Stegostoma tigrinum: one gene and its partners. The protein of the gene in region 2 interacts with the protein of the main gene of each other region in a pairwise test. Links are inferred from orthologs where the notes say so. Each region holds a gene or a part of one and is shown on either strand. Other genes may lie near its edges. The genes, in order: protein FAM107B-like, fibronectin type III and SPRY domain-containing protein 2, esd and fmr1.

The links.
Region 1: the proteins of fibronectin type III and SPRY domain-containing protein 2 (region 2) and protein FAM107B-like interact in binary tests that used the Homo sapiens proteins (3 or more experiments, as listed by UniProt). The two-hybrid records come from large-scale screens. The link is inferred for Stegostoma tigrinum from reciprocal best matches to the Homo sapiens genes FSD2 and FAM107A.
Region 3: the proteins of fibronectin type III and SPRY domain-containing protein 2 (region 2) and esd interact in binary tests that used the Homo sapiens proteins (3 or more experiments, as listed by UniProt). The two-hybrid records come from large-scale screens. The link is inferred for Stegostoma tigrinum from reciprocal best matches to the Homo sapiens genes FSD2 and ESD.
Region 4: the proteins of fibronectin type III and SPRY domain-containing protein 2 (region 2) and fmr1 interact in binary tests that used the Homo sapiens proteins (3 or more experiments, as listed by UniProt). The link is inferred for Stegostoma tigrinum from reciprocal best matches to the Homo sapiens genes FSD2 and FMR1.

What each region holds. Positions count from the first base shown.
Region 1 is NC_081364.1:52,121,297-52,129,678, reverse strand, and holds the start of protein FAM107B-like, read right to left. Parts: upstream 3,232-8,382; 5' UTR 3,190-3,231; intron 1,034-3,189; exon of another isoform or gene 1,014-1,033; 5' UTR 779-1,013; coding exon 755-778; intron 1-754. UniProt on the Homo sapiens protein: Stress-inducible actin-binding protein that plays a role in synaptic and cognitive functions by modulating actin filamentous (F-actin) dynamics. Mediates polymerization of globular actin to F-actin. Also binds to, stabilizes and bundles F-actin.
Region 2 is NC_081386.1:35,973,225-35,980,942, forward strand, and holds the start of fibronectin type III and SPRY domain-containing protein 2, read left to right. Parts: upstream 1-4,626; 5' UTR 4,627-4,848; intron 4,849-7,718. Other genes in the region: WASP homolog-associated protein with actin, membranes and microtubules, read right to left, coding at 2,589-3,137.
Region 3 is NC_081365.1:73,601,456-73,608,905, reverse strand, and holds the start of esd (S-formylglutathione hydrolase), read right to left. Parts: upstream 3,016-7,450; 5' UTR 2,942-3,015; coding exon 2,872-2,941; intron 2,789-2,871; exon of another isoform or gene 2,663-2,788; intron 2,614-2,662; exon of another isoform or gene 2,445-2,613; intron 490-2,444; coding exon 411-489; intron 1-410.
Region 4 is NC_081368.1:9,511,432-9,519,234, reverse strand, and holds the start of fmr1 (synaptic functional regulator FMR1), read right to left. Parts: upstream 3,309-7,803; 5' UTR 3,268-3,308; coding exon 3,217-3,267; intron 2,916-3,216; exon of another isoform or gene 2,873-2,915; intron 1-2,872.

The DNA of each region.
Region 1 (8,382 bases), on a different chromosome or scaffold from region 2:
ATTACTTACTCACGGGGTACAGATTCACATGCATGAACCACTCTAGTACTTTGCCCAGTCATCTACCCTTTGACAGTGTATGTTCTAGGGTATTGATCCCGTGTTCAGTCAACATCTGAACTTCAGAAAGGATTGATAGTTAATTCTGCTCAACCTATGGGCAGCTATACCATCCTAACACTGGCCTAAAGGGCAGCAACCAACTTAACAGAATCTCTTGCCCTTTTTGTCAACAACTCACTGTCTTACAATCACATTATTGTGGGAGGATCTACTGTAGCAAGATCTATGCCAGTAAGATTAGAATTGCTAGTACAGGTCCAATGTTAGATTATTAATATTCTAACTCAGGCTTTTCTATAGCCACAATCTTTCCTGCGGGTAAGATTTTCCCAATCTGTTTCATTGGACAAAACCAGGCAATAAGGGAAAGTGTGAGGAAACAAATAGATCAGAAAAGAATTAACGCTTTTATTGAATAACATAAATAAACCTATGCTTCATATCTGTTAATCATTTAAATTTAACATACTTAAAGCAATTCAATCCCACAGCCCATTTCTCTATTTTCAGACAACAATCAGTTTGTTTCAGTTCTTCTTAGCAGTTGGTACTTAACTCAATATAGGCAATTATCCACAGCCAGCACACAAAATATTAGTAGTTTAGTATATTTTATGTGCTGCTAAGCGTTCTGACCCCTCTTTCATTATGTAAAATGTTAAATCAAGATGACGAACAAAGGACTGTTTACCTTTTTACCATGAGCTGCTCCCATGTTGATGGTTTTGCTCACTCCTCTTTAGGTTCTGCTGCAGTTTCCCCTGAACAATATCCTTTTCTGTCTGGGCTCCCCGTGCTGTTCTCTTTCTGCAAGAGGAGCTGCTTGCACAATGTGCGAGGAGGCACAGACTGCAGCAGGCAGGCAGGAGATGTGAAAACACGCAGCTCTGGCACCTTGACAACTCTTCCACAGAACCAAGGCTTTACTAATTCAGCAAAATGGCAAAGACCTGGGACGGAGAAGCCAAAAAACAAGTATTTAAGAGTCTCACTAATTTATAAAATAAATTAACAAAGCAAAACACTGCAATTACAACACTGATTGACACAAGTATTTCTCTCTTCAGTCCACAGCAAGCTGTGGTATGTGCCCTGTGAAGCTTTAGTACTGAATAAAGATTACATTAATTGCTCATGACACCATGTGATGATGCACAGAGCACATGGATGGCTTTACATAGAATGTGACAGGCCTACAATGCCTCGTTATTACACAAAGAAGATGTTCCTGCTGGATGGGCCTGGGTCTTCTGACATTTACATCTGGAGCTCTTCCAAGCAGCAATGCCATCCATTTTAGTATTTTGCACTGATTCACGTACCCTGCTAAATTCTGTTGAACATCCGCTAGTGCTGTGTAATAGCCAGACAGTTTATGAACTCTAGCTCAAAATCGTTTTAATCTCCAGTTGACCATCAGTTGAGTTACAATACAGTCACATGAATGAATTGCAATGTTGCCATTTCATTGCTTAAAACAGGCTTTTTGTTAAATGGGTTTGAGTTTGTGAGCTACAAAATTGAAGGTATGCTAATTGATGGATGTAAGAATTACATTAATATAGACATTGTTACACATCTTAACTATCGGTATGGAGACTCAAATGAAGTAGAAAACCTTGCAAAAAAACGTTAGTTTTCTTTTCTCAAAACCAACAGCTTAATATTTTACTTCAGATCTTGTTAACCAGCAATTTATTTTTCTGTATGTCCAATGGGATTAAGTCAACTCTCTTTTGCATTAATGTTCATATCATTGCTTCCTTTGGACATAAACTGTTCAAAACTAGCTACAATTAGAATTTATTACCAGCAACTTCCAATATTAATTAGACATCTTTTCATGAGCAAAGTAATGTAGTTTTTGGTGATTGCGTTCTTGCAAACGGTGTACAAGATAATGAGAGGCATGGATAGAGTCGATAGCCAGAGACTTTTCCCCAGGGACAGTATTGACTGCCAAGAGGTGTCATAGTTTTAAGGTGTTAGGAGGAAGGTATAGAGGAGATGTCAGAGGGAGGTTCTTCACCCAGACAGTTGTGAGCGCATGGAATACTTTGCCAGTGGTAGTCGTGGAAGTGGAGTCATTAGTGACATTTAAGCAACTGCTGGGCATGCACACGGACAGCAGTGAATTGAGGGTTAGGTTGTAGGTTAGGTTATTTTAGTTTTGGATTAGGATTATTTCACAGCACAACATTGTGGGCTGAAGGGCCTGTACTGTGCTGTACTTTTCTATGTTCTAAAACCAATTTTTATAAAGTAGATGTATGACTTCCGCTAAGTTTTCTCTCTATCTGATATTCTGAACAAAGGTAAGCCAGAAGGGATGAATGATGTAAGCTTTTCTCAAACATCATGCTCCCCTCCACCCCAAATATCCTGACCCTGAGACTCATCATCATTGGGCAAATCAAAGTTTCATTTTATTTATTTGTTACAACCTGACAATTATTTGGATTTTGTATGAAAATTCAGCGTGTCTTTTGGAATTGCACTGATCCAGTTAGAGCGTAACAATGTGTGTGGTCTATAAGTCAGTGTCATTTTCAACTCTGATGTTCAAGCATTGATCTGGGAAAATGGATTGTCTGCCCATTGTAGAGCCCATCAATGAGATGGCACTCACACAGTTTCTACAATGGATGGGCAACCTTCCCCAAGAGGTAGAGATTAAACTTAACCTCTTAGAGTTACGGGTGTTGTGATTTATATTGCAAGGTGGCACAGTGGCTCAGTGATTAGCACTGCTGCCTTACAGCGCTGGGGACCCAGGTTCAATTCCATCCCTCGTGACTGTCTGTGTGGATTTTTCACATTCTCCCCATGTCCCTTGGGTTTCCCCCAAATGTTCCAGTTTCCTCCCACAGTCCAAAGATATGCATGTAATGTGTACTGACCATACTAAATTGCCATTGTGGCCAGGGATGTGTAGGCTAGGTGTATTTGCCATGTCAAATGCAGGGTTACAGAGATGGGGTGGATCTGGGTGGGATGCTCATTGGAGGGTTGGCGTGGACTTGATGGGCCAAATGGCTGTTTCCACACTGTGGTAATTCTAGGATTCTAAAGGAATCTGAGCTGAGAGTCTGAGATAATCGGAACTAGAGGAAGGTGTTGGCTCACCCATATTCCAGCCAAAGATCCAATCCACGTTCACTTCAGGTGTTGCACTTGCCAGGATCTTAGATTCACAGAAGGGTGCTATTTGAGCCATCATGTCTGCACTGGTCTTTCAAAGGAGACTAGTCCCAACGTGTTCAGTCTATCCTCAAAACTGAATTTTTTTTCTTTGTGAAACCATTCTCGTAAATCGTGGCTCTGCATATAGGAGAGTGTAACTTGTCAAGTGATCTTAGACGAAATGAAAACATCTGAAGACCATAATTACTTCTAAAGAAAAAGATCATTTAGCAATCTTTGCTGCAGAAAGAGCAAGATACTTGAGAATATTTTCCTGAACATTTTTTCATGTGGAGACCCCAAACTGTAAACTATAACGTTGCATTTTGCTTTGATTTAGTCTGACAACCAAAATATTCCCTTTGGGTGTTAACATCAGAGAATGAAAATCCAGCACTGTTTCCTTCCACTTGTCCAGAGCTAATATGTTAGAACTCTCTGAGCATAAGTGGTAACAGAAAAGCCTTTGATTGTGATGTTTGACCAGAAACCTGTAGTGTACAGTGAATGTAATGTTCTAAACAAAGCCAATCATACAATCGATTGCCTGAGGGTCTTGTAGTGTCCCTGCATCTGGGTCAAAAGGCAAATGTCCCACCTGTTCTGGAGGCACATCACACCACATCTCAGTAGTTTGCTTTGTATAGCTATAATCAATTACTTTTGTAAGACACTAATTAAAACGGCTCGTTTGAACTCTGTATAATTAATTTGCAAAACCATAGGTCAGGGAGAAACTTGGAGTAATAATAATTCCTAAAATGTTTAGTTTGTAATTCCTATTGACCATGCTGTGTGTGGCATTGGTAAATCTCTCAGAGCAGGTCATCCATCCATTTGTATCTGTGTTTCGGGCAGTCTAGGAAGAGGCAGGAGACTGGCTCCAAGTTAAAATGTTCATGCAGACACGATGGGCTGAAAATCCTCCTTCTGTGCTTGAACAATTCCGTGATTTTGTGACAGTAAGTGGAACGAGGTGGGGAGACTACTTCCCAGACTGATCATAGCTCAAACTATTTTTCTAAACAAGCTATTCAGAGATGTTATTACACACTTGGAGCAGCAAAGAGGAATGGCCCAACTGAGACCAATAAGTAGCTAATTTATGATCACCTGCGGGCTTAATCAGCCTGTGCCAGGACTAATCCAGGCTGGAGGCAAGCCTTTTGCTAAGCATTGTGCATGACAGCTAAAACTGTGTGGCTGGCTTGCCAGCCAATAAGAGGAGGTCCCTCAATCAAAGGAACTGAGGCCCTGACAGAAAGCTACCCCTTGCCTTTGCTGCCGATTCCTCTACCAATGACCTCCACTCCACGAAACCCCTCCTGACATTACCAATCTCTGTGGTAGGGTTAGGGTTAGGTTTAGGTTTAGGGTTACCCCATCGCAAGGTTACTTCACAATCCTGGGGCTCAGGTGAAGGTTTCTCCTGAAACAGCCACGGTCTTCCCTGCAGCGTTGCTGGGCACAAGAGTCACTGTCTCCTGAGTGACTGGCATCTCTTGGTAGGTCAGATTTCTGCCCTGGGGTCCTGATTTCAGGTGAAGGCTTGCTGGTGGCCTCACTGCTGCCTGTTTGGTTTATGGTTTGGTAGGTCTCCCTGGGAAAGGTTGTTGCTGGCCCTCCAAACAGCAGGCAAGATCTGGCTGACGGAAACCCTGCTGGTAACTCTTTATGTGGAAAATAAAATGACGAATATTAAACAATGTTTGTATAATGCAAGTGGCTATATTATTGAATGGATTCCCTGTTCTCGTCAGGATATCAGCACATTAATTTACATACGCATGGTTGTCAGGTAAAAATGGCTTGAAACAAAATTGACATGCTCATTAAATTTGCAACCTTTAAAAAACTGGTTTAGTGCTATCAATCTCATCAAAACATAGCATTCCTGTTTTTTAACCTGCAGAGGAGGTTTCCAGTTTTTTCATCATGTAGTCCTTGGTAATGAAAGTGTGGGAGTTAAGTGCTGGTGATTCATTTCTGATGTGACCAAATGAAAGTAATGGCATAGTATATTTCCTGATAAAATATTGTAATATACTGCACAAGGGCAAATGCGAAACTGGTGAAAGCAGAGTCAAAAAGTAAGCATTCATTGAGAAGCAACTGCAAAATATATTCCCAACTTCCAAGGTTCATTTTAAAAGTCAGTGATTCCAAAATTATTGACTTTGATGAGTTGAGGTTCAACTTTGTCAAAAAGCTGAAACAATGTATTGAAACAAACTGTTTGGAAGAATCTTTTATCAATTCTGTTCTCCTCGTGCCTTGGGGACAGTGACCACCCTTGATTATCATTGTGTTGTTTCTGTCGCTGTGATATAAGCAAGCTGAGTTTAGTATTTTCTTGCAGAGTATTGTAATGGTTCTTCTACAAGATTTTAAATAGCTTTGGAAATTCTTTTTGAAATTCCCTTTTTCATTCATTCTAAAATATAGTATTCACTATTTGTAGGAGACTTAGTTGAATACATTCAGTTCTGGTTAAAAATGAGAGTCTGATTTCTCAGTATGTATAATACTTTACTGGCATTCCATGAGCTGTGGCCAAGTCTCAAGGTAATTTGCCAAGACATTTGAAGTGCTGTGATTTCTGGACCCTGGGCCTACATGTTTATTGACCTGACTCTTACAGACTTCAACCACAGGTAGCTGATGTCAGTATTGCGACAGCTACTTTTATGTTGAGTTTAAATTCTGTTTCAAAGCCTTGTACTTTCACACCGATGGTCCAGAATCTATTTTATTCCGTCTGAGTGTCAGTAGAACCACTGTCTTCACTTTTTGTTCCGGAGCTTTAACTTTAGGAACATTTTTCCTTGTTGCATGATTTCCACCTCTCTGGAAATTTTCCATTTTGCGGGATATTTCTTTATTTGTGAGGTAATTAAGGTGTTGTTAACTTGCAATATTTTCTGAAGAGCCCTGATTGGCCACACTTATAGCAGTTTTTAGTTCTTGCTGCTGGACATTCATTATGTTGTGATTCTCTTTTATGCTACAACCTAATCTAGTTGATGATTTTGATTCCAATTCTCCCAGCACTTTGCAAGGCTTTTGGGAAGGTGATGATGGCATCTTGGGACCTACCCATTTGACCAGGTCAAAAGAACTTCCCCTCCATCATAATGTCAGAAGTGGGATGAAAGTCAACTTTTTGCAGCATTTCAACAGGAAGATCTGGTTGTATTGTTGTGCAAGGTATTGATTTTGAAGGAGTTAATGTTTCCGTGACATTGAACTCCATCCCTTCTGAGACTGTCACACACAGGCTGGTGTGTTAAACGGTAAGTGCTACAGTAGCCTATGGAGGGTATAGCTCTCAAGAATCCTAGTAATTAGTCTTCTGGAAGGACTCTATGGTGGCCCATCCTCTTCCACTAATCATTAGGCTGGTTCTGGACAAAGTACAGATCAAAAAAAGGATTGCTAACAACAAACTACCCCTCAGCCAATCCTTGCTTGGAACCTTATTCTCACAGAGGTGACAGATACCATGAGGTGCTAATAGTGTCAATCAGTGTAATGCCACAGCTATTTCAATAGTGGCACTTTCTATCCATTGTTTACGTTAATTTATCATAATTTATACTCACAAATGGTGTCATTTTCTTGTCAAGCCAGGTACGTTACAAATTCAATGACAGGAAATCATGTCTATGTCATAAACTATTAATTTTGAAATCACTATAATTAACCGACCAGCGAGGTCCAAGGAGGTTTACAAATAAAACATTTATAGCTTGAAGCCCTCAGATTGAAAACTCTTATTTCCAATGACAGCTGGATATCAACAATTAAGTCACCATTTTTCACTGAGAGTGTAAACGTAATGATAAACCTAGCCATTTGTGTTGAGGTGGGAATGAAGACCCTACTATTACTATGATTAAAATTAAAGTATGTGATTATCTTGAAATAAATGATATGATTATACTCGATCTTTTTTTCCCAAGTTTTAGCATTCACAGCCTGTATAAGCATATCACTCATTGCTACAAAGAGCAAGGAGATAAACAACAGACAAGGTGTTTGAATTACCAAGGAAACTAGCAGATCCAAGGCTGAAGGGTGAGAATAACAATGGTCTGCATGAAGTCGAGAATTATAACTGTGTGCTGCAAACTCAGTATTTTTGACAAATGCTTTGGGTAATCAATAAGAGCTTATCCCTTATTTATGATCAAATAATATACTTGGGGCTTGTTTGAACCACATAGACTTCGGAGTGGTTATTTTTCACTCTCCTATCAACCTGCGAGTCTACTTTCAAGGGATTATGAACCTGCACTCCAAGTTGTCTTTGTTCAACAACACTTCCCAGGACCTTATCATTAAGGTGTATAAGTCTTGCCCTGATTTGTCTTTCCAAAATGCAGCACCTCACATTTATCCATATTAAACTCCTATTGCCACTCATTAGAACAATTTTGTCTGTTTTAACATACAGTATAAATCATTATGACAATCATTTCATTACATCCTGGATACTGACATCACCCACAAACTAACCAACTAACTCCCCTGCAATAGAATAGTAGATATCAGATGCTATTTTACAATGAGGTAACATACCCTTCCTTCCTTTACAACTGAACAGGGTCACTTTTGAATAATGGCATTGAATAATGAGATTGGTAGACCAAATACTCCAATAAATTCAGCTGATGCCAGGGCTCTTGTGGTGTAGTGGTAATGTTCCTACTTGTGAGCCAGAAGGTTGAAGTTCAAGACCCACTTGCTCCAGTGGTGGGATATTCCACATCTAACGAGGTAGATTACAAAGAAAGCTGTCGCTAATGCAATTCCAAGCATCCGTTGTTTCAGGTGATTGGCTGAATTCACAACACGAATCAGAGTCAGCACATCTCAATTGCAAATTTAGGTTTGGACTGGTTTGAGTCTTGCCATGCTGCCATCTCAGGATGTATGCCTGTGAATGCAATCTTCCTGACTAACATTAACTTTCTGCTGGCCAGGTTATCTGAATCTGGTAAACTTTAGTCTGATCTGCTGCATTGCGTTGCTTATTTAGAGCGTCACAATATGCCAGCGTGACATTGATGAGACGACTGTTCAAAGCTACCAGCACTTCAAGTGCAGAGATCAAATAACACTCAGAATAGAGCT
Region 2 (7,718 bases):
AGAGAAATTTCTTCACCCAGAGCAGAGAGCCTGTGGAATTCTCTACCACAGAAAGCAGCTGAATATTTTCAACAAGGAGACAATACAGCTCTTAGGGCTAAAGGAATGAAAGGATTTGGGGACAAAATCGAAAAGAGTGGGATGATCGGCCCTGATCATATTAAATGGCAGGTCAGGCTTGGAGGGTCAAATGGCCTCCACTTGATCCCATCTTCTGTGTATCTCTGAATAACAGAAACAGAGTCAGCACCTCGTGGGTTGTCACAGGCTTGGGAAGAGTCTTCATTAACAGGGGCTGGTGGAGGCGGAGGTTAAATGGTTGAGTGCAATACATCAAGCTTCGTTAGTCATAAGTGGTTCACGTTTGGTGCTGACATTTTAGTAGCTCATTATTAAACAAAAATACTAATCTTCACCCAATGCTGACAGATAAAACTAGCCTTATTATCTAGGGCAGGAACGGTGATGAAGGAGGAGGAAAGGACCCTGCATGATGACAGATAGTTTCTTACAGTGTTGTATGCATTGCTGACAAACAATAAAGGTCTTCAGGAAAAGGTTCATTCTCCCTCTGCTGGAACCAGTCCCAGTCAGAACTGCCCAGGGATTAGCACTCACACTGTGTCTTTGAATCAGGTTTGGATATTTCTGACCACACCCCAGAGGACTGAATAAGGGTTTTTCCACGTTACGATTTCAGGAAACAGCAGCACCACAACAAATCACTACCAGCAAGAAAAGTGATAATGACATTGCATAAGAGGATGACAATCATTTTGTTTATCCCAATTTCCCTAAAGTAAGGATGCTAAAAAAAATGCAAATATCGCCACACATTTCAAGAGGTGGAATCTGACAAAACAATCAATACTGATGCGAAGTGACTTTCAGAGAGGTTAGGTTTCAAGCAGCAATGTAAAAGGAGGAGAAAGCATGTGCAGACCTGTGCATGTGAATTCCAAAACTCAGGACCCAGGCTGAAACAAACAGTCAGCAATACAGAAGCAAAGGAAATCAGGGCTGTGCATAAGCTGCAGGCAGACTGAAATCTGCCAGATTGGGGGACTGGAGGAGGTTTACAGAGATAGGGAGGGACAAGGCCATGGTGGGATATGAAAATAGAGATGGGAATTTTAAAAGGTAAAATAATTGAAAGAATCCATGCAATTCAGTGAGCACAGGGTGATCATGGAATCGGTTGCTCACAGATACCAGCAGCAAAGTTTTGGCTGAGCTTGAGGATGGCCAGAAGTCAAGTTGAACAGCTGAGTCTGAAAGAGGGTCACAGCAACAGAGGAGTTGACACAGAATGACTGTACTGATGTTTCAGAGGTGTACAATGGTCAGCTTGGTGCTACCCAAGATAGGGCCAAAACAGCAGAAAGACTGTGAAAAGTCTCACTCAGCTGGGAATACTGAAGCAGCAGTTAACTGGTGAGTGCAGGGTAGATTCTTTGAGGGTTCAGTGCATTACTGGATGATGATTTAGGAAGCAAGAGATTCACACTCTTAATGCAACAAGAGAGTTGTGAAACTCCACTGGTACTCAGATTGAAAGTGAAAGTGTTAAGAGCATGTTATCAATACTTTGATTGTTCTGTTATTGTCCCAAGTGTATGGAGGAGGGGAAGAACTAGTTCTAGATGTTTTATAATCTTCCTCTGAAACATCCCAGAACATAATCTACTTAGTCAGATTTTGTTTTATTATTTCCATTGCCAGGAGTGGCTGGTGCCAAGAGCATGCTCCCCACCTGTATTTTGTTTCTTCCCAAAAGTCTGCATTTATATAGCAGTTGCAACACTTCACATAAGAACAAGATAATCACATCAATTTTAATAAGACACACATCCCATGTGGCCAAATCTAAATCCCAATAGTTCCACAGAGGACCAGAGTTGGCCTTTGGAATGAATACCCTCCATATCTTGGAGGCACACACAGGAAGCCAATCAGCATCCAGGCTCTTCCAGCCTCAAACAAGCAGCTGCAAACACCTGTAGAATGCCAACGGGGCCTCTCCTTCAAGACCGGACACACAAACAATTGTAACCCATTTCTCTCAACGGACCCAGGCAAGAGGCTGCACTGATGATGTTACCCAGCAGGGTAATGAAATGCCTGTGGAACAACGAACCAGCTCAGCGAGCCAACCAACCACAAGGACCCAGACAGTATTTGAACAAAGGGAAGATGTTTTCTATCATGGCAAAAATCTGGAATTCCACAGGCACTCTTAACATTGCGCAAAATAATCTACACCACAGATGCAATCTGTGAATATACCTGTACTGGCTGTATTTAATGTAGAACAGTACCTATATAACTACATTTAAAGACAGTAGACCCAGGAGGGGAGTACAATACTATTGTGTGAGTTATAGGAATGTGAAGGAGGTGAGCAATCCACTGGGGAGGCTGAGAGCAGGGCTGGGATCTATCAACAGCCTCTGATCAGAGTTGATTTAATGGAAACATCGTGTAACATGAATCCAAACCCGAACAGGAGCCATCAGAGCGGGCGGCCACTCTGCCCTTCGAGCTGTTGCCCTCCCGCTGACCTACCACCCCCCAGGCCCTGGCCGTACCTCCCGCAGGCTTTCCCGGCCACGGGCCACTCGCTGCTCGAGGCTTCTCCTCCGGAACTCGGTCAGATTCTCGAAATATTCGCCGTCGGAGTCCGAGGGGAATACCGACTCCAGGAGGATGCGGCGGCCGCACAGCTCGGCCGCAGCGTCCAAGTACCTCTCCAGCTGGCGGCAGGAGGCTTCCAGAGCGGCGCCGGACTCCGGGCCCTCGGCCAAGGACCGGCCCGGGAACAGGAGGCCCCAGAGCCCGGGGCCCCTCAGCTCGGGCAGCACCGGGAAACACGGCCACAGGGCCGAGCAGCTTGTCGCCAACTGCCGGTGGATCCAGCGCAGCTCCTCCGGGCGGTACAGCGCGGCCCAGCTGCCCTGAGCCCCGGGCTCGCCTCCCGCCTTCCGCCGCTGCCCACGGCTATGGCAGGTGACGGCGAACTTCCCCTCCACCTCATTCCAGGCCACCAGGAACCGCAAGCAGCTCTTCTCTGTCTCGGAGAACACATCAGGCCTAATGGCCACCCAGCCCTCCAGGCTGTCCGGCTGCTCGGACTCCATCAGCGCCAGGCTTGAGGCCTAGTTACCGGGGCCACCTCCCACTGCGCATGACACCGTTCGTGCACCGCCCCCGTGTTCTAACCCCGCCCTTTGCACCGCCCCCGTGTTCTAACCCCGCCCTTTGCACCGCCCCCGTGTTCTAACCCCGCCCACGTCGCCAGGCTCGTCCCGATTTCAGCCCCGCCCCCTGATCCTGATACCGCTCCGAGCCACGCCCTCTTCCCTTGACTTCTCCCATGTCCCTCCGTGAGCCGAACCCTGGCCCCAGGCCTCACCCCTTCATCGTTGATGCCTAGATCACTATCGTACACAGCAAACAGACACAACCTTGTGGCACACCACGAGGCTCCCAGTTTCGGATTCTTCAGTGAATGGAAACACCTCCATCTTACTCCATCCGTCATTGAGTTTAACAATCCCTGTCAGCTCTCTTCTGTTGGAAAGATAAGCATCACCACGTCCTTCTTCAGACCCGAAACGTTAGCCTTCCTGCTCCTCTGATGCTGTGTTCCTGTCTCCACATCCTGTTGTTCCTTATGGCTGTATCCTCGCAGAATTTATCCACATTTTCTCAAGAGCTTTTCTTTATGTGACCTTGTTTTACCGCTTTAGACTTTGTATAATCCCAGGCTCTGAGTCTGGGCTGTGGAAGTTGTTGAGTAAAATGGGGGGAGGAGGTCTTTGGGAGGGAGGTGTTCAGTTATACATTGCAGAAGGCAGAGTGTATCCCGTCTCCCTTTCCTTCACACCACACTCCTCTTTCTGTAGCGTTCCGAATAATGGAAGCTGTCTCACTAAAGCTTACAAAACGGAGTAGGTGCATGGAAGATGTTTCCCTGATGAAGCAAAATACTGCGGATGCTGGAAATCTTAAACACAGAAAATGCTGGAGAAACTCAGCAGGTCTGGCAGCATCGGGGGAGAGAGAAACAGAGTTAACGTTTCGACTCCAGTGACTTCTTCAGTACTGAAGTAGACTGAGCACAGCCGACTCTGGTCCCCATCTCATGGCAGCAGTATCTTCAGATAGCACATTCACAGTTCTGACAACAGCCACAAATGGTTTCCCATCGGTCTCTTTTCTCTCGGTACTTCAACATTCACACGGGAGAGGCTCAGCTCGCCAGGCCAGGTTGATCACAGAAAGTTTGTGGCACAGAAAGAGTCCAATCAGCCGATCCTGCTTGTGAGTGAGGATGGGTGGAAGGATGCTCTGAGCCACCTTTCTGAAGCTGACTAACCGGGACATTCAGTTAAACACTGCTTTGTTCTGTCTATAACTAGTGACTTCAGCCGATTCCCTCTCCCGTCTCTTTGGGTGTTTGCAATCTCTGATCGGCCATGAACTTTGCTGAATGTCACTTGCAGTGAGGTAGTGTCACCAACCGCTGTCTAAAAATACCCCAGGCCCGGCCCCGGGGGAGATACTGGGGGAGAAAGTGAACGATATGAATTTCGTGGCCAGGCGGGAATACTGATAAATGCGGGTTTGTGTGAATCCGAGAGGATTTGAATCACTGACGGAGCTGCATTTCAGGCCAGCTCCTGCCAGCTGAACACTAACGGAATCTAAACTATGTCCCGCAATATTTGAGGATCTCACATCCCACTTATTTTTAGACTTTGCAGATCAGTGCGTATTCCGAGATTTTCTTTCCTTGACGGTATGCTCCATGTTCCAGAAGGTTCTTGCTGTTCGCTGTGTCTCTCCGTAAGTCTCAGCAATGATTGAAGTGGAGGAGCTCAAAGGCCAGCTCATAATGTGGCACTGGGTACAGGACCCGACTCACAATGTGGCACTGGGTACAGGACCCGGCTCACAATGTGGCACTGGGTACAGGACCCGGCTCACAGTGTGGCACTGGGTACAGGACCCGGCTCACAATGTGGCACTGGGTACAGGACCCGGCTCACAATGTGGCACTGGGTACGGGATCGGGCTCACAATGTGGCACTGGGTACGGGACCCGGCTCACAATGTGGCACTGGGTACGGGATCGGGCTCACAATGTGGCACTGGGTACAGGGCTCGGCTCACAATGTGGCACTGGGTACAGGGCCCGGCTCACAATGTGGCACTGGGTACAGGATCTGGCTCACAATGTGGCATTGGGTACAGGGCCCAGCTCACAATGTGGCACTGGGTACAGGACCTGGCTCACAATGTGGCACTGGGTACAGGGTCCGGCTCACAATGTGACACTGGGTACAGCGCCGGGCTCACAATGTGGCATTGGGTACAGGACCCGGCTCACAATGTGGCACTGGGTACGGGATCGGGCTCACAATGTGGCACTGGGTACAGGACCTGGCTCACAATGTGGCACTGGGTACAGAGTCTGGTCCAAAAGCCCTAAAACTTGCGGGAACTTGCGGCAAATGACTGGAGCGGAAGATCGGGCGGTCAGACATCTCGACGAAGGGGAACAGCTCAGGAAGAGGGGGCTGGCTTGAGTGGGAGTGGGGGCAGGACTGAGGGAGAGTGGGGATAGGACTGAGGGGGAGTGGGGATAGGACTGAGGGGGAGTGGGGGCAGGACTGTGGGGGAGTGGGGATAGGACTGAGGGGGAGTGGGGGCAGGACTGTGGGGAGTGGGGATAGGACTGAGGGAGAGTGGGGATAGTACTGAGGGAGAGTGGGGATAGGACTGAGGGGGAGTGGGGGCAGGACTGTGGGGAGTGGGGATAGGACTGAGGGAGAGTGGGGGCAGGACTGAGGGAGATTGGGGGCTGGCTTGAGTGGGAGTGGGGGCAGGACTGAGGGAGATTGGGGGCAGGATTGAGGGGGAGTGTGGATAGGACTGAGGGAGAGTGGGGGCAGGACTGAGGGAGAGTGGGGATAGTACTGAGGGAGAGTGGGGATAGGACTGAGGGGGAGTGGGGGCAGGACTGTGGGGGAGTGGGGATAGGACTGAGGGAGAGTGGGGGCAGGACTGAGGGAGATTGGGGGCTGGCTTGAGTGGGAGTGGGGGCAGGACTGAGGGAGAGTGGGGATAGGACTGAGGGGGAGTGGGGGCAGGACTGAGGGAGAGTGGGGATAGTACTGAGGGAGAGTGGGGATAGGACTGAGGGGGAGTGGGGGCAGGACTGTGGGGGAGTGGGGATAGGACTGAGGGGGAGTGTGGCTGGACTGAGGGGGAGTGGGGCTGGACTGAGGGGGAGTGGGGGCAGGACTGAGGGGAGTGGGGATAGGACTGAGGGGGAGTGGGGGCAGGACTGAAGGGGAGTGGGGGCAGGACTGAGGGGGAGTGGGGCTGGACTGAGAGGGAGTGGGGGCAAGACTGAAGGGGAGTGGGGGCAGGACTGAGGGGATGAGGGCGCAGGACTGAGGGGGAGTGGGGCTGGACTGAGGGGGAGTGGGGCTGGACTGAGGGGGAGTGGGGATAGGACTGAGGGGGAGTGGGGGCAGGACTGAGGGGGGTGGGGCAGTACTGAGGGGGAGTGGGGGCAGGACTGAGGGGGAGTGGGGGCAAACCTGAGGTGGAGTGTGGATAGGACTGAGGGGGAGTGGGGGGCAGGATAGAGGGGGTGAGGGGGCAGGACTAAGGGGGTGTGGGGATAAGACTGAGGGGGAGTGGGGGCAGGACTGAGGGGGTGAGGAGGCAGGACTGAGGGGGTGAGGAGGCAGGACTGAGGGGGAGTGGGGGCAGGATAGAGGGGGTGAGGGGGCTGGACTGAGGGGGAGTGGGGATAAGACTGAGGGGGAGTGGGGGCAGGACTGAGGGGGGTGGGGGCAGGACTGAGGGAGAGTGGGGGCAGGACTGAGGGGGGTGGGGCAGTACTGAGGGAGAGTTGGGGCAGGACTGAGGGGGAGTGGGGGCAAACCTGAGGTGGAGTGTGGATAGGACTGAGGGGGTGTGGGGGCAGGATAGAGGGGGTGAGGGGGCAGGACTGAGGGGGTGTGGGGATAAGACTGAGGGGGAGTGGGGGCAGGACTGAGGGGGTGAGGAGGCAGGACTGAGGGGGTGAGGAGGCAGGACTGAGGGGGAGTGGGGGCAGGATAGAGGGGGTGAGGGGGCTGGACTGAGGGGGAGTGGGGGCTGGACTGATGGGGAGTGGGGATAAGACTGAGGGGGAGTGGGGGCAGGACTGAGGGGGTGAGGAGGCAGGACTGAGGGGGAGTGGCGGCTGGACTGATGGGGAGTGGGGATAGGACTGAGCGAGAGTGGGGGCAGGACTGAGGCGGTGAGGGGGCAGGATGGAGGATGTGAGGGGGCAGAACTGTGGGGGTGGTGCTGATCGATGGGAATATAGGTACAGCGGGCAGCACCTGCCTAAGATTGTAAATTCGGTGCAGCGTTGGGGGAGGGGGTAATGGGATCAGGAACAGTGATGGGGTTTGGCTTTAGAGGGGCCTGTTGGTAAACCCTGTCAGAGTCAGGCCAATGGAGGATCCCACTGAGTTGGTCCTGGAGGTATTTAGGTGCAATTCCGATCATGTTGCAGATAAGCGACGCAATGGAGGTGTGTGTAATCATTGGGTCATTTTAATTGAAACTCAAAGCACAGTGTGAGGTGCTCCACCTGAGTAAGATAAATTACATTGATGGGAATATTGTAGTCCCCAGCTCCAATCCGTCTC
Region 3 (7,450 bases), on a different chromosome or scaffold from region 2:
AGAAGAAACCTCTTAACCCAGAACATGATTTGAGTGTGCAACTTGCAACCTCATGGCATAATTGAGGCAAATATCATTACAGCATTTAAATGGAAGTGGAATTAGTACAAAGAGATAATTACAGCATTTGGCAGCAGGTTTAGATGAAACAGAATACAATTGACTTGTAGAGAGCATAAATACCTGTCACATGGTGCAGTATTAAACCGCAGGCCAGTTAGGTTAGCATGCCTGCTGCTGTGCTGTTAAATTCTACAGGATTCTGTATTAAAGTTACAATATTTCCACTGTTTATCTTAACCAGCATTGAGATTAAAAAGTTTTACACCTTAAATCACAAAGGAATTCCAGAAACAAAATACTGAATTGGAAAAGAAAGTTAGATGGTGAGGCTGATTATACTAACTCACCTGTCATGTTCATACACCTTCTGATATCCTTCAAAACACTTGGCACTTGAGATTTGAGTCAGGGCCATTTTTGTCACTACTGAAAGTTTTATTTTGAAAAAAAAGAAATATGATCATATGTTTGTATGAATATAAATACAGCTTACACAATGACAGTGTGGAAAGACCCAATAGGTATTATTTTCAGAGATAATGGGAACTGCAGATGCTGGAGAATCCAAGATAATAAAATGTGAGGCTGGATGAACACAGCAGGCCAAGCAGCATCTCAGGAGCACAAAAGCTGACGTTTCGGGCCTAGACCCTTCATCAGACCTGGATTAGGAGGGTTTTGAGATTACAATGTCGACTAATACTTGGATGCTGTACTGAGGGAGGTGCTGACTGATCTCAAATGGTAAACTGATGTTCAATGTGTGTACACTAATGGTTCAGATGGATGTTATGAATCTCAGGGCAATATCTGATGGCAATTCACAATGAGACAAAAGTCTTTCATAGACTCAGTAAGTGCCAATGCACTTCTGAAGTGTGGTAATTGCTGTAATTTTGGATTATTAATTAATACCAGCAGAACAGACTTATTGGTTAATCCTCATTGTTTGTGTACTTCCTTAAACCAAAGGGATTTAGGGGTTTGGGTACATAATTCTTTGAAGTTTGCATCACAGGTAGACAGGGTGGTTAAACAGGTATACAGCACGCTTCCCTTCACGGCTCAGTCCTCTGTGCAAAGGAGTTGGGATATTATGTTGAGACTGTACAGGACGTTGGTGGGGCCTTTTCTGGAGTACAGTATTCAGTCAGGTTGCTCAGTTATTGGAGGGATGTAATTAAACTAGAGGGTTCAGAAGAGGTTTACCAGGAAGTGCTGCCAGGTATGAAAGGTTTGATTTATAAAAGAAAGGGTGGATGGGCTGGGACTTCTTTCACTGCAGTGTAGGAGGTTGAGGGGTGACCTTATGGAGGTTTCTAAATACAGTTAAATGGTGGGTGTCTCTTCCCTAGGATTTCAAGACTGGGGACATATTTTTAAAAGTGAGAGGACAGATATCTTAAAAAAGCCATAAGGGGCAAATTTTCATTAGAGGGTAGTTCGCGTGGGGAATGAACCTCCTGAGAAAGTAGTGGATGTGGGCATAGTTACAATGTTTAGTTGACACTTAGATAACACACAAATAGGAAATGTTTGGAGGGATATGACCCCAGAGCAGACAGGTAGGATTAGGTTAGTTTGGGATTATGTTCAGCATGGACTGGTTGGAGCGAAGAGTCTGTTTCTGTGCTATATGACTGTTTCGGGTTAGAGTTAGTGTTCAGACTGGAAGATAAATGCTTGTCATTTTCCACAGTTCTAGAAAACAAAAGTCACTATTTGGACTTGGGCACTAGAACAGAATCACAAATATGTGCTGATGGCACAGATGTAGGGGCTCTGGCAAATAATGAGGGGCACAGAGGAGTTTCACCACGATGTTACCTGGGATGGAGCAGTTTAGCAATGGAGACAATCCGGAGAAGAACAGATTGTTTTCTTTCAAGCAGAGAAGGCTGAGAGGGTACATAATAGATGTATATAAGATTATGAGAGGCGGGATCAGAGTGGATAGAAAGCAGCTATTCCCTGAAAGGGTCTATAACAAGGGGGCATAATTTTAAGGGGATAGGCAGTTTAGAGGCAATTTGAAGAAATTCTTTTTCACCCGGAGGATGGTGGGAACCTAGAATGCACTGGCTGGAAGTGTAGTTGAGGCAGGAAATCTAAAAACTTTTAAAAAAAATACTTAGATGTGCACCCGAAATGTCATAACATTCAAGGCTGTGAGTCTCGTAGAAGGCGGGACTAGTCTCAATTTTCGAGTACTTGTTTGCTCATGGGCCAAAAGGACCTCTTCTATATAGTATGGGTTTGACTGTAAATCAAATCCAAGTTTCTTTTTCAAACAGAAGTCAACACAATCCTATGCCTTTCCCGTGTGTATAAAGTCCTACATTTGATTATCGATTTACTTGAAAAGAGCTGTGAACACATACCCGGAACTCGAAACCACTCACTTTATTGAGTGAGCTTGCTGTGTGCAGATTAGCTGCTAACTTTCAACACAAACAGCCAGCACCCTTCAAAAAGTGCTTCACTGGTTGTCTTTTGTTTGCTGGGCCCTGGTTGTAGAATGTGCAATGTAAATACGAACATTCCTGATTCATCTCGCTCCATCCCGGGGAGGGGAAGAGGGCGGTCTCCGTTTCCTTACCGCCTAGGCTCAGGCCTGAGCCTCAGAGTCTCGGTCACTGAATCCTGAAGCAGTTCCCGTTGCATTTTCAACCGGCGGCAGAGGCTCTCGATCCGGCCCGGGCCTTCCCCGCGCGACCCCCGCCCCTTCTCCTTCCCCGCGCGACCCCCGCCCCTTCTCCTTCCCCGCGCGACCCCCGCCCTCGCGTGCTGCCGTTGCCTGTCACGTACCTCTGACCGCGCTAACGACCCGGGCTCGAGCGTCTGAGACGGCGACTCTCGTCCCTACAGCCAGGCACATAAAATGCAGGCACTAAGCTCCGGGGAAGCGGAGAAGTGATGTGGTGTTTCTGAGGGGAAGGAGTTGGTGGTAACTCCGCCTGGACAGGAACGAGGTGTGGGGGTGAGTTAGGGTTAAAGTTGGTATAGTTTGTGCACTTTAATCATCGTCTCTAATCTCACCACGTCAAAGCCAAGTTATTCAGTTTGGTGATAACTGTGTTATTAACTAGAAACCGTGTTTTTCAAACATATATTTCAAATTTCAGAATCACAAATCATTGAGCCTAAGGGTCAGTAAACCCATTAATAAACTGACCCGAAACATCAGCAACAAGCCCCAAACTCAGCAGCATTGATCATTAAAAGTATACCAATACGATGATGGCCCCCTCTTAACGCTCAGTGAAAAACCTAATATGAAAACTACGGCAATTACAAATTATTTGACTACGTTACGCTTAAAGAAAAGACCAGCTGCCTTAATCCAGGTTTTTAAATAAACCAGGGTCATTTGATAAGACCTCTGTGTATTTATAGAAAAGCGATAGTTCGCTTGACATGACATCTGTAATATATTCACTTTAAGTTAATTTCCGGGCTGTATATTATTGTGGAAAAGAGCAATACGATTGAAAGAGATTTTGCATCTCTCATGTATCCAAGGATGCAAAATTGTATCCCAGAAAGAAAAGACTGTAAACTTGCAAATCGACACTGATCTGACTTTTGTCCGTCAAATCCTCGTTCTGTGGGAGGAATGGGAACAGACTTCCAGCAGAATACAAAAAACCATGGACATTTCACCAGTGTAAACTCTACTCTGTACTGCAAAGGACCATATAATCTGACTGAATGGATCAATGAAAAAAGATAAAATGGTATATTTTATCCACTTTGCTAATACTTGGGTTCTGAATCTGCAGATAACAAGGAGTGACAGTACTTCAAAATGGATCTCCAGTATCAATAATATGTTCATCTTCAAATAGTACTTTTTTGGTTTACATGGATTTTAGTCTGAGATAGGACAGACATGCCTTTTGCTTCAATGCACAACTGACCAGAAACTAAAAGGAAAAAACATTGACAATTTAATGTATGCAATTTTCAATTCTCATAAATGCATTCAAGTTTGTGTCATCTGGGATAGAAAGTGGAAAGCAACAGTGAACAAATGTTTTCTGTGGAGAGAAATAAGAGAGAATTTTGTGAGCATTCACCAGGAGACTGGCCTAATTCAAAACAGAGAATGATCAGTGTGTTCATTTACAGTTATTTTTATAAATGTTTTCTGGGTGATTTAAGAAGGCATTTAAGAGTGAAGCGTATCACTTGAGACCAGAAGTTGAATTTAGCGTGGATAGGTAGGAACAAAAAACTGCTTCCTTGAAGGACATTAGAAATATACTCTCATTGAACTTTTGAGAAGGTTGTCACATTTTCAAGTTTGACAGGTGGGGCAGAAATATAACAGTACCTGTTCTTAGCTTTATATTAATCTAGCAACGAGCTATAATTTCAAGAAAATAAGTGAAAACATATGTCTACATATATATCAGAGATAATGGAAACTGCAGATGCTGGAGAATCCAAGATAACACAGTGTGGAGCTGGATGAACACAGCAGGCCAAGCAGCATCTCAGAAGCACAAAAGCTGACGTTTTGGGCCTAGACCCTTCATCAGAGACACCCTTCCGCAACACATCCCTCACACCCCGCCCCCACCACAACCGACCAAAGAGGATCCCCCTTGTTCTCGCACACCACCCCACCAACCTCCGGATACAATGCATCACCCTCAGACGCTTCCGCCATCTACAATCCGACCCCACCACCCAAGACATTTTTCCATCCCCACCCTTGTCTGCCTTCTGGAGAGACCACTCTCTCCGTGACTCCCTTGTTCGCTCCACACTGCCCTCCAACCCCACCACACCCGGCACCTTCCCCTGCAACCGCAGGAAGTGCTACACTTGCCCCCACACCTCCTCCCTCACCCCATCCCAGGCCCCAAGAAGACTTTCCATATTAAGCAGAGGTTCACCTGCACATCCACCAATGTGGTATACTGTACCCATTGTACCCGGTGTGGCTACCTCTACATTGGGGAAACCAAGCGGAGGCTTGGGGACCGCATTGCAGAACACCTCCGCTCGGTTCGCAGTAAACAACTGCACCTCCCAGTCGCAAACCATTTTAACTCCCCCACCCATTCTTCAGATGACATGTCCATCATGGGCCTCCTGCAGTGCCACAAGGATGCCACCCAAAAGTTGCAGGAACAGCAACTCATATTCCGCTTGGGAACCCTGCAGCCCAATGGTATCAATGCGGACTTCACCAGCTTCAAAATCTCCCCTTCCCCCACCGCATCCCACAACCAGCCCAGTTCGTCCCCTCCCCCCACGGCATCACACAACCAGCCCAGCTCATCCCCTCCCCCCAGTGCATCCCGAAACCAGCCCAGCCTGTCTCTGCCTCCCTAACCTGTTCTTCCTCTCACCCATCCCTTCCTCCCATCTCAAGCCGCACGTCCATTTCCTACCTACTAACCTCATCCCACCTCCTTGACCTGTCCGTCTTCCCTGGACTGACCTATCCCCTCCCTACCTCCCACCTATACTCTCCTCTCCACCTATCTTCTTTTTTCTCCATCTTCGGCCCGCCTCCCCCTCTCTCCCTATTTATTCCAGAACCCTCTCCCCATCCCTCTCTGTGATGAAGGGTCTAGGCCCGAAACGTCAGCTTTTGTGCTCCTGAGATGCCGCTTGGCCAGCTGTGTTCATCCAGGTCCACACTTTGTTATCTTGTCTACATATATACTTATTTTGAGAAAAATAACCAGTTAATTAGAACACAACAAAGCTAGCACAGATAAAGCATTGGCCTGCATAACATGGAAAGTATTAGGTGGTTCTAGAAGTCTGGATGATCACGTCTACAGGTACTGCCATCAGTTTCATCTGCTTAAGTATTGGGTTTCAGAGCTTGAGCACTGGCTGGAGGCACTACAGTGAATCTATGAGGCTGAGAGTTACTTGGAGAGCACATTTTTAGATGTGGTCACTTCATAGTTTAAAGAAGTGCAGTCAGAGGAGGCTTGGGTGACTGCCAGTCAGAAGAAGAAAACCAGGCAGGTAAGCCCCAGTCAGCATCTTACTTGAGAAATTTATTTTTGTCTTGGAAATAGTAGGAGCGACAGTTCCTCTAGTCAGTGCAGCCAGAGCCCAGCTGCCCAAGGGTGGAGTGAAGCGAGGAAGAACAATACTGGTAGGCAACTCAATATGAGAGGTACAGGCATTTTTGCAGCTAAGGACGTGACCCTATCATGGTTTGTATTCTGCAGTGGGAGGAATAATCCAGTTCGGATGATCGAGGTATCTTTTACTGGGCTCCTTTGTTCTAGCGCTTGTAAGGAAGCCAAAGGCCGTAGCAACAAATCTTACCTCATTCCCGGAATAACAATTGTGCTATGATAAATTATACAGTCCACATTTACCATCAATCATATAAGAGGTTACAGAAACATTTAACAGTATGAATGATACAATATCCTCTTTTGGTCTGAGTCTGTCTGCTCCAGTTCTTGGCTGCTTGCAAAGTCTGTTGGCCAAAGTTCAACCACTCCTTTAGCTCACCTGGACATAATTTTGCTATATTAAGCCTTTCAGTGTGTTTCGTCCCTAGAGTCAGGATCAAGGATGTCACTGAATGGCTGCCAGACATTTTGAAGGGGAAGGGAAAGCTGTCAGAGATCATGGTTCACATAGGTACCAATGACATAGTGAGAAAGAAGGATGAGGTCCTGAATCAAGGTTTTAGGGAGCTGGGTAGCAGATTGTAAAGCAGGACTTAGAACAGTACAACAGGAATGGAACTTTCAGCCCACCGTGCCTGTACTGGCCATGATGCCATTCTAAACTAATCCCATCTGCCTTCATGTGATCTATATCCCAATATTCTCTGCCTGTTCATGTTTGTCTAAATGCTTCTTAAATTTTGCTGTCATTGCTGCTTTCACCACCTTCCTTGGCTCAATATTCTAGGCATCTACCACCTTCTATTTATAATGCCTTGCCTCGCACACCTCCTTTAAAATTTCCCCCTCTCACCTTAAACCAATGCCCCCTAGTATTTGAAATTTCCACCCTGGGGAAAAAAAGACCCCGACTATTCATCCAATCCATGATTGTCATAATTATATGTACTTTTATCAGGCTCCCCCACTCAGTCTCCGATGCTTTAGCAAAAACTATCCAAGCTTATCTAACCTCTCCTTACAGCTAATACGCTCCAACCCAGGCAACATCCTGCTAAACCTCCACATCCTCTTCAAGGTTTACATACCCTTCCTATATTGTGGTGACCAGAACTGCATGCAAGACTCCAAATTTGGCCTAACTGAAATCTTGTACCGCTGCAATATGACTTGTTGACTTTTGTACTCAATGTCCTGACTGATAAAGACAAGCATACCAAATGCCTTCTTTACCACCTTATCCACTTGTGCTGCCACTTTCAGGCAGC
Region 4 (7,803 bases), on a different chromosome or scaffold from region 2:
CTAATCAAGAAAGAAGGGAGAAAGTAAAGTGGGAACAACAAGCCAGAAGGAAGTTGATGAGCCAGCTGGCAAATATCAGTAAAATGCTGGCACATATTACGGAAGTATTAATTCATTATTTATTGTATTAGATTATGTCAACGTGGTTTTACAAAAGGAAAACCACATTTGACAAGCTATTTGGAATAAATAGAGGAAACAGTAGATGTAATATATTTGGATTTGCAAAAGGCACTTGCTAAGGTCCTACACAAAATGCCAACGCACAAGATACATGCATATGATATATACACATTAATTTACTAGAACAGATAGAGTTGTTGCTCAAGGACAGAAAATAGAGTAGAGATAAATCGAGTATTTTCAAACTGTCAGTGTAGTGATTCAGAATTAGTTCTGAGACCTCAACTATTTATAATTTATTTTAATGTCTTGGACAAAGATTGAATAATACCAAATAACAAGGTGTGGAGCTGGATGAACACAGCAGGCCAAGCAACATCATAGGAGCAGGAAAGCTGATGTTTCGGGTGGCCCGAAATGTCAGCTTTCCTGCTCCTGTGATGCTGCTTGGCCTGCTGTGTTCATCCAGCTCTACAGCTTGTTATTTCAGATTTTCCAGCATCTGCAGCTCCTACTATCTCTTGAATAATGCCATCTAGATTTTCTAATGATACAAGGCTAGATGGAATCATAGTTTATAGGAAGGGCACAAAGGCTACAGATATAATGGACAATAAGGTGAAAGATGGGAGTATAGTGTAAAGAAATGAGGTTATTTCCTTTTGACAGAAGAAACAAAAAAGTTGAATATTTGTTAGTTCGGCACAAAACGTTTACATTTGATATTTAGAGACTTGGCTCCCTCATAAGCGCAGAGAAAACCAATGCAAGTACAGCAAGCAATTAGAAACACAAACAACATGTTTCTCTTTAGTATAAAGAGTTTGGAGTTACAAGAATAAGAAAATTCCTATTACAATTTTATAGGACTTTGGGAAAATAACACTAGAAATACTGTAAGTTTTGGTTTTAATATTTCAGGATGTACTTGTGCTGGAGGTTGTACAGTGAAGATTTATTAGAAAGGTCACTAGTACGAGATGACCATTGCGATAGGAAACCATTGAACAAACTAGACAGATTTAGAAGAGAAATATACATGGCCTGAAGTGGCTGGCAAAGGTAGACACATTACTTTTGCTGACTAAGAAATCGAGAACGTGGGGGCACATATAGGTTAAAGGGTGATTATTCTGGTTTAAGACAAGGGAAAACTCAACATTCTAATGGGTTGTGAAACTTAAACTTTCTACCCGATAGGATTGAGGGTGCTCCATTGATGAATATGTTTAAGGCTGGAATGTGAGTATCCCAAAATTGTTAACTCAGAGCTACTTCTTTAATGAAATAAATTCTGAATAAACTTGAACTCCACATCTCTCCTTTCAGGTACAGAATAGATAAAAGCGCAAATATTTGCCTAATATTAGCATACTATTCTGTTGCTAACTGTAAAGTTTACTTCATTGGTTATGGTATTAACTAAATTACTTTTATGGCATTTCAAATTCATACAAAACATAAGCGTGTAAGCATTTCCACACAGAGCATCCTGAAATGCAAGTTTCTTTTAGCTTTAATAAGGCCATTGACAGGATGTCTCTCAGCATTTCACAGCCAAGGAATTACTTACGAAAATTAGCAACGGCTGTCTTGTAGCCAAGCACAGCTGCCAATTTACACACAGCTAAGTCTCCATAGACAACATGAGACAAGTATCTAGTTAACTATTTTGCACATAATCAGCAAAAATTGAACACTGATCATGGTCCCAGAATGTAAAGCACTTCAATGGTTTATGCAAACTTGAACAAAAAGTATCGACTTAAATCACAACTTCGCTGAAGGGCAAGTTTAAACTATCATGGTATTGGGCTTGATTCAGAAGAACTTAAAAGCCATCAGAAATACTAAAGCTAAGCAGGTTTTAAAATCCATTGAAAACTAATTAGTTTGCATTCCTGCACCTACAATATCATTGCTTTGTCACTTCCAAGTGAACATAACAACAGAAACAGAATAATTATAAATCATAAAATATTAACCACTTTTCTCCTCACAGATGCTGCCTGAGTACTTTGAACATTTTATAGCTATGGGATATTATCAAAGAATAGGTCATAGCCAGGAAGATTTAGGAATCCAAAGGTGGTTCTTATTGTTCAAACCACTCACAACTGCACTACATTAAAGATGTCTTTTCATTTCACAATTCTGGGATGTCTGGTCAACCCAGATAAGTTTTACTGAAGGGTCTGTTTCTGTGCTGTATGACTATTAGGTATTAGGTAATTGCAGATTTTTTAAAAAAACAATTTACTGAATCAATTCATCACCCCTCAAAAAAAAAGCTAGAAATGGAATCTATCACCTTAGCAACATATCCACATTTGTGGTAGTAAAAGCACTACAAGCTGATGTGATGTAACCAATTAACAAAACATAAAATACACTTTCTATACAATCGTACAGTATAAATTACTAAAGAAAACATTAAACTATATTAATATTATAAAAGGTGAACACCAATATTTGCAGAAAGGTGAAGATTTCACTTGATTATCAACAACCATGAAACTGTGACTTGGGACAGTCCAAACACAGTGGCTCAATCCATGGATGAAGTGCACGCCCACATATGCATCCTATTAAAAAAACTCAAACACAAAGCAGCTCACAGCAGACTTGTGTGAAGATGAACATTCCCCAAATACAAAAGAGAAAAGAGATGCGGGCAAGGGCCTTCTTTTATTTCCAAATCGTCAAGCCTGAAGGTAAAGGCTCAGACCAAACAGAGGCAGACACTCACGTCTCCAGATTGGATTGAGGGGGCCTCTTCACCATTGTAGTCAGGACAATAACAAAAGCAGCAGCTTAGGCTATAACCGAGGAGGAGCAGCAGAGAGAAAGAGAGACACGCCCACCCAAAGAGAGGGAAAGCAAAGCCTGGGGGGACTCATGAGGTAAAAGCCATCAGACAGAGATAATCATCAAATGGGATAGAGACAGCAGGCAGTCACACAGAAATAAGAGCTTCTCATCAGCGTGAAACAGACAACGTGGGAAGCAAAGACAGGGAACTGTTTTGATAGATGAGGAAATGAATCAACAGCCAACCACCTCCTCGTTTCCACCCACCCCCCCTCCCCGTACCTTATAAAAGGCTCCATTAGAGCCGCGCACCTCCACCATTAAATCCTCCATCTTGGCTTGCCCGCGGTGCACTATGGGACCGAGTCTGTGGTGGGGTGGGGGGGGGGGAGGGGGAAAGGGACGGCGGAGGCCGCGCGCTTCGTGCACGCTGGAACGAGGAGAGTTCCCACGCGCCCGGGAAGCCACGGGCGTGCACGGCGAAGTGCTTCGGTGGGTGAACGGAATCCGCGCGTGCGCGGGGAAGCGTATGTGCGCGGGAGCCGCGCGTGCATGGGAAATGGGCTGGGCCGGGGGTGGGGAGCGGTTGGGGGAAGTGTCTGCGCGTGCACGTGAACGAGGGAATACGCGCGCAGCCTCCATAGGCATCGCGCGTGCACGAGAAAAAGGGAAATCCGCTTCCCACCCCCCCCGCCCCGGAGGCGGCGCTCTTCAACTCTCCAAGAGAGGAGTTGGGGGGAGGGTCCGCGGGTTCCTCGGCGCCAAGGCGATTTCTTTTTTTTGCACAAATTATTTTCTTTTAAATGTACATTTCCTCTTTTCCCCCCTCGCGTGAAGAGTGGGGACTAACGCTTCATCACAAGGTGCGCATGTTTATTAAACCAAAACAAATTGTGCGCTCGGATTGAGGGGCGGGGAAAGAGGGTGATTGACAGAAAAATGAAGCAACCGCGACCCGCGGATCGGGGGTGGATCGGCCGGGGATTGGTGGGGAGGACACTGTAATTGATGGACGTGTGTGAACCAGTCGGCTCTTGGAGACGGGGCAATCGGCGCACGTTTGGTGGGTGGTATCCCCATGGAAACGTTTGACGTGAAATTTGTCCAGTCCGTGCCTTCAAATTGGCGAGTGTTGAGTCACGTGAGGCTAAACCGAGGACTGTCTGGCGGCTGGCGAAGGAAGCCGCGGGACTAGGGGGGCGGTGCCCTGGAAACTTGATATGGTTATCGACCAATCGTTCCAGGGCAACGGCCCAATCAGTATACGATAGTGGGACGGTAAGGTAATTGACTGGAAGATAATCCAATCGCCGTCGAGAACGCGTGCAGTCGTGGAGGGCGGGATATTAAGGAAAGGATTGACAGGAATTTGAGCCATTCGTTGCTCGGCAGGTGGCCAATCAGCCCTGGTTTATAGGGCGGGATCTTGCTGTAGGGCAGTCGTGGCCATGGTCATGTTATTGGGGCCTTCACGGCGGAAGGACTTGGGTTTGTTATGGCCGAGGTTCCCAGGCATGACATATGCAGGAAAAGTTTATGCGAACCATCACCGAGGATGCTGGAGAAATGCAGCAGGTCTGGCTGCAGCTGGTGGGTGGGAAGGAACCTAGAGTTTGCATGTTGTAATTAGTGTAACTCCTACAGAAATGAAGTCTGTTAGGAAAACTGTTTTTTTTGCTCTCTCGGAGATCAAGTGGCGTAAGAGGGCAGGTGTAACATGGGCGGAATGGACTTGATGGGCCGAAAGGCCTCATCTGTACTGTATAATTCTCTTAAATTGCGCAGGCTAAGGTCAAAAATCACACGACACCAGGTCCAACCGGTTTATTTGAAAACACCAGCTTTTGGAGTCTCGTTCCTTCGGGCGTAAGACTCGGAAAGTTAGTGATTTCAAATAAATCTTTTGGACTATAATCCAGTGTCATGTGATTTTTTATTTTTTAACCTTGCCTACCTCAGTCCAACGCCAGCGCCTTCATTACAGACCCAAGTGCCCTGTCGAAGATAAAAGGTGATGTTAATTATGGCGAAATAATAGACTTGGGGGATGTAAGGGTGTGAAAGTCAAAAGTAAATGAGGCACAAACAAGACAAAGCTGCGGTTTGGCTGGAGGAGCGGTGTGGGCTAGTATGTAATGAAAATGGAGAACAAACCTCATGGTTAGGGATATACAAGGTCCAGAGCTGTATGATTCATCCTGCTTCTTTGCTGCCTAACCCTGCCGTGTTCCTTCAGCTCCTCACTGTATCGATAGTGATCAGTTTTAGTGGTGGGAGTGACTCCTTCCTGGAGTGTGGACAGTGTTGAGTTTCTTTGCCGAAATGGTGGTCCCAAGACATGAGTGGCAACAATGTAAGCCAGAACAGGTGCCCTGTTCGGGATCCGGCGCTTCAGTCGATCGTGCGTTGCTGAAATTTGCCCAGCATTGACTCGTGGTGATCTTGGTGGAGAGAAGATGATGACACAGTTCCAGGCTGTTGCTGGGCCTGGATTCCTGATGGAAGTGGTGATGTTCTAGCTACAGCAGGAGTGTTCACAGACTGAGTGATGGACTGTGTTTCTTTGTTTTGCTGTCAGTGAGGCAGGGAGTAATCTAGATGGATCCTTTTCTTTTATCTGTTCCTTTTACTTCCACTTCTCTTTTTAATCTTGTCTTTTATAAATTAAGATTGTATCGGAGAATAGTGACTTTGTACACTTTTCACTGTAGCCCTGTACTTGAGTACGAGACAATAAAATCTAAATTTACATTCGGAAGTTTCTGGATTCAGTTTTGACACCTCCAAGGCAATAGTGCCTGAGTGAAAATTTGGAGGTGTTGGTCCTTGACTTTGTGTTGTTCTCCGAGGCTTTGGAGTAGATTCTGCCTAGTGTTGTTTTTGGACCATTGTGACAGGCCCAGATTAGAAACGTCTACTTGAGCAAAGTGGTTTTTTGAAATGGCAAACAAGTTGAGGTAATTCCTAAGGTCTGAGGAGTTCTGCAACTTCATCCCCCAGTCTGTATTTGGCTTTGCTCATGTTGCAATCTCCTTATTACATGAGCAACAATTGCAGTAGTTGAGATTGAGGGGCTGCTTCAACTGGAAGGTCCATATGTGGCCTTGGAGGAGATGAATGGGCAAGTGTTTTATGCTCTGTGATTGCAAGGGGAAGTCCTATGGTGGAAGTGTTAAGAGTGATGCAGGAGTGAGAGGTTTCTGAAGAAAAGTCATACCATATGTGAACTGTGCTCTCGCTCTCTCTTTCGCACCAATGATCAGCTAACTGACTGAGAGTTTCTTGACTTGTACCTTCCTCCCCCCTTTTAAACAGGACTGTGACGTTGGTCATGTTCCATTCATTTGGAACCTTCCCTGACTCTGGTAATTTCTGAAAGATCACCAGCAACGCAGCCATAATTTTCACAGCTATCTCCTCCAGTACTTTGGGGTGTAGTCCATCTGGTCTCGCTGACTTATCCTCCTTTAGGTTCTTGTTTGGCTTCCCCAGCACTTTCTCCTTTGTAGTGGCCACTACACTCATGTCTACCCACTGACTCTGTTGAAGCTCTGGTATGCTATTAGCATCTTCTACTGTGAAAACTGATGCAAAGTACGTATTCAGATTATCTGTCACTTCTTTCTCTCCATTGTTACTTCTCCAGCTTTATTTTCCAGTACTCCAATATCCAGCTTTGCCTTTTTTGTCTAAGGTATGTACACCTGCATGGTAAAGTCTCCATGATAATTGTAATAGTGCCTTTCTAACAAGCCCTTTCTATCTCCTGATTTATTTTATTTTCCCTTGTCCTGACTATAGCCCGAAAGCCTGTACGTAACTCTTATTAAGGTTTATTCCTTTTGTGGTTCCTCAACTCTACCCACACAGATCCTCTGACTGTATATCACTTTATGCTATCAGTTTAGAGTCGAGTCACGCAGCATGGAAGCAGACCCTTCAGTCCAACCAGCCCATGCTGACCCTGTCCCCAAACTAAACTAGTCCCTCATGCCTGTGCTTGGTCTGTACCCCACAAACCTTTCCTAGTCATGAACTTCTCCAAATGTTTTTTAAATGTTGTAACAGTACATGCATCTACAATGTTCTCTGGCTGTTTGTCCCATGCATGACAACGTGTTTTGTAAACGAGTGTTGCCCCTCATGTTCTTTTTAAGGTGAGAGGAGAAAGAGATCTTTAAAAAATGCTCCCTAGTTTTCAACGCCCTCCTGCCCCCAACCACCCCCCCCCCCAAATCTCTTAAGGAAAAGATCCTTGTTATTGACCTTATCTATCCTGCTTGTGATTTTACAAACATTTTTACAAGGCCATCTCTCCACCTCCTACACTCCAGTGGAAATCAAAATTCCTGGCCTTACCAGCCTATTTCTGTGTCTCAAACCCTACATTCTTGGTAACACTGTAGTAAATTAACAAGACAACCCTGCTCCCTGTGCCCATCTGCCTGCCCTTTTCAATAGGAAATGTATTCTGAGATATTTAATTCCCAGCCTGATATCTGCAATATGATATCTGCCAATTGCAAGCTATACTAAATCTCATTTACCTTGTTTCATGTACTTGTGTACATTTAAGTATAACACACTCAGTCCTGTGTTGACTGCCCACTCTTCGTATAGTTGTCCTCTTATCAGATGTTAAATTCCTGAGCCTTTCCATATCTGGAAATTTTAAGACCTTCTCCTGAGCTCCCTTCATGCTCCTTAACATTTTTCTACAACGTTTCATGCAGCTGAACTACCCCCATCTCCGGTTTAAAGTCCTATCCACAGCCCTAGTTCTGTTTTACCAGGATTCTGGTGCAGCCCACTTCATCAGAACAGCTTCCTCCTTCCCTAGTCCTGGTGCTAATGTTCCATGAATTTGAA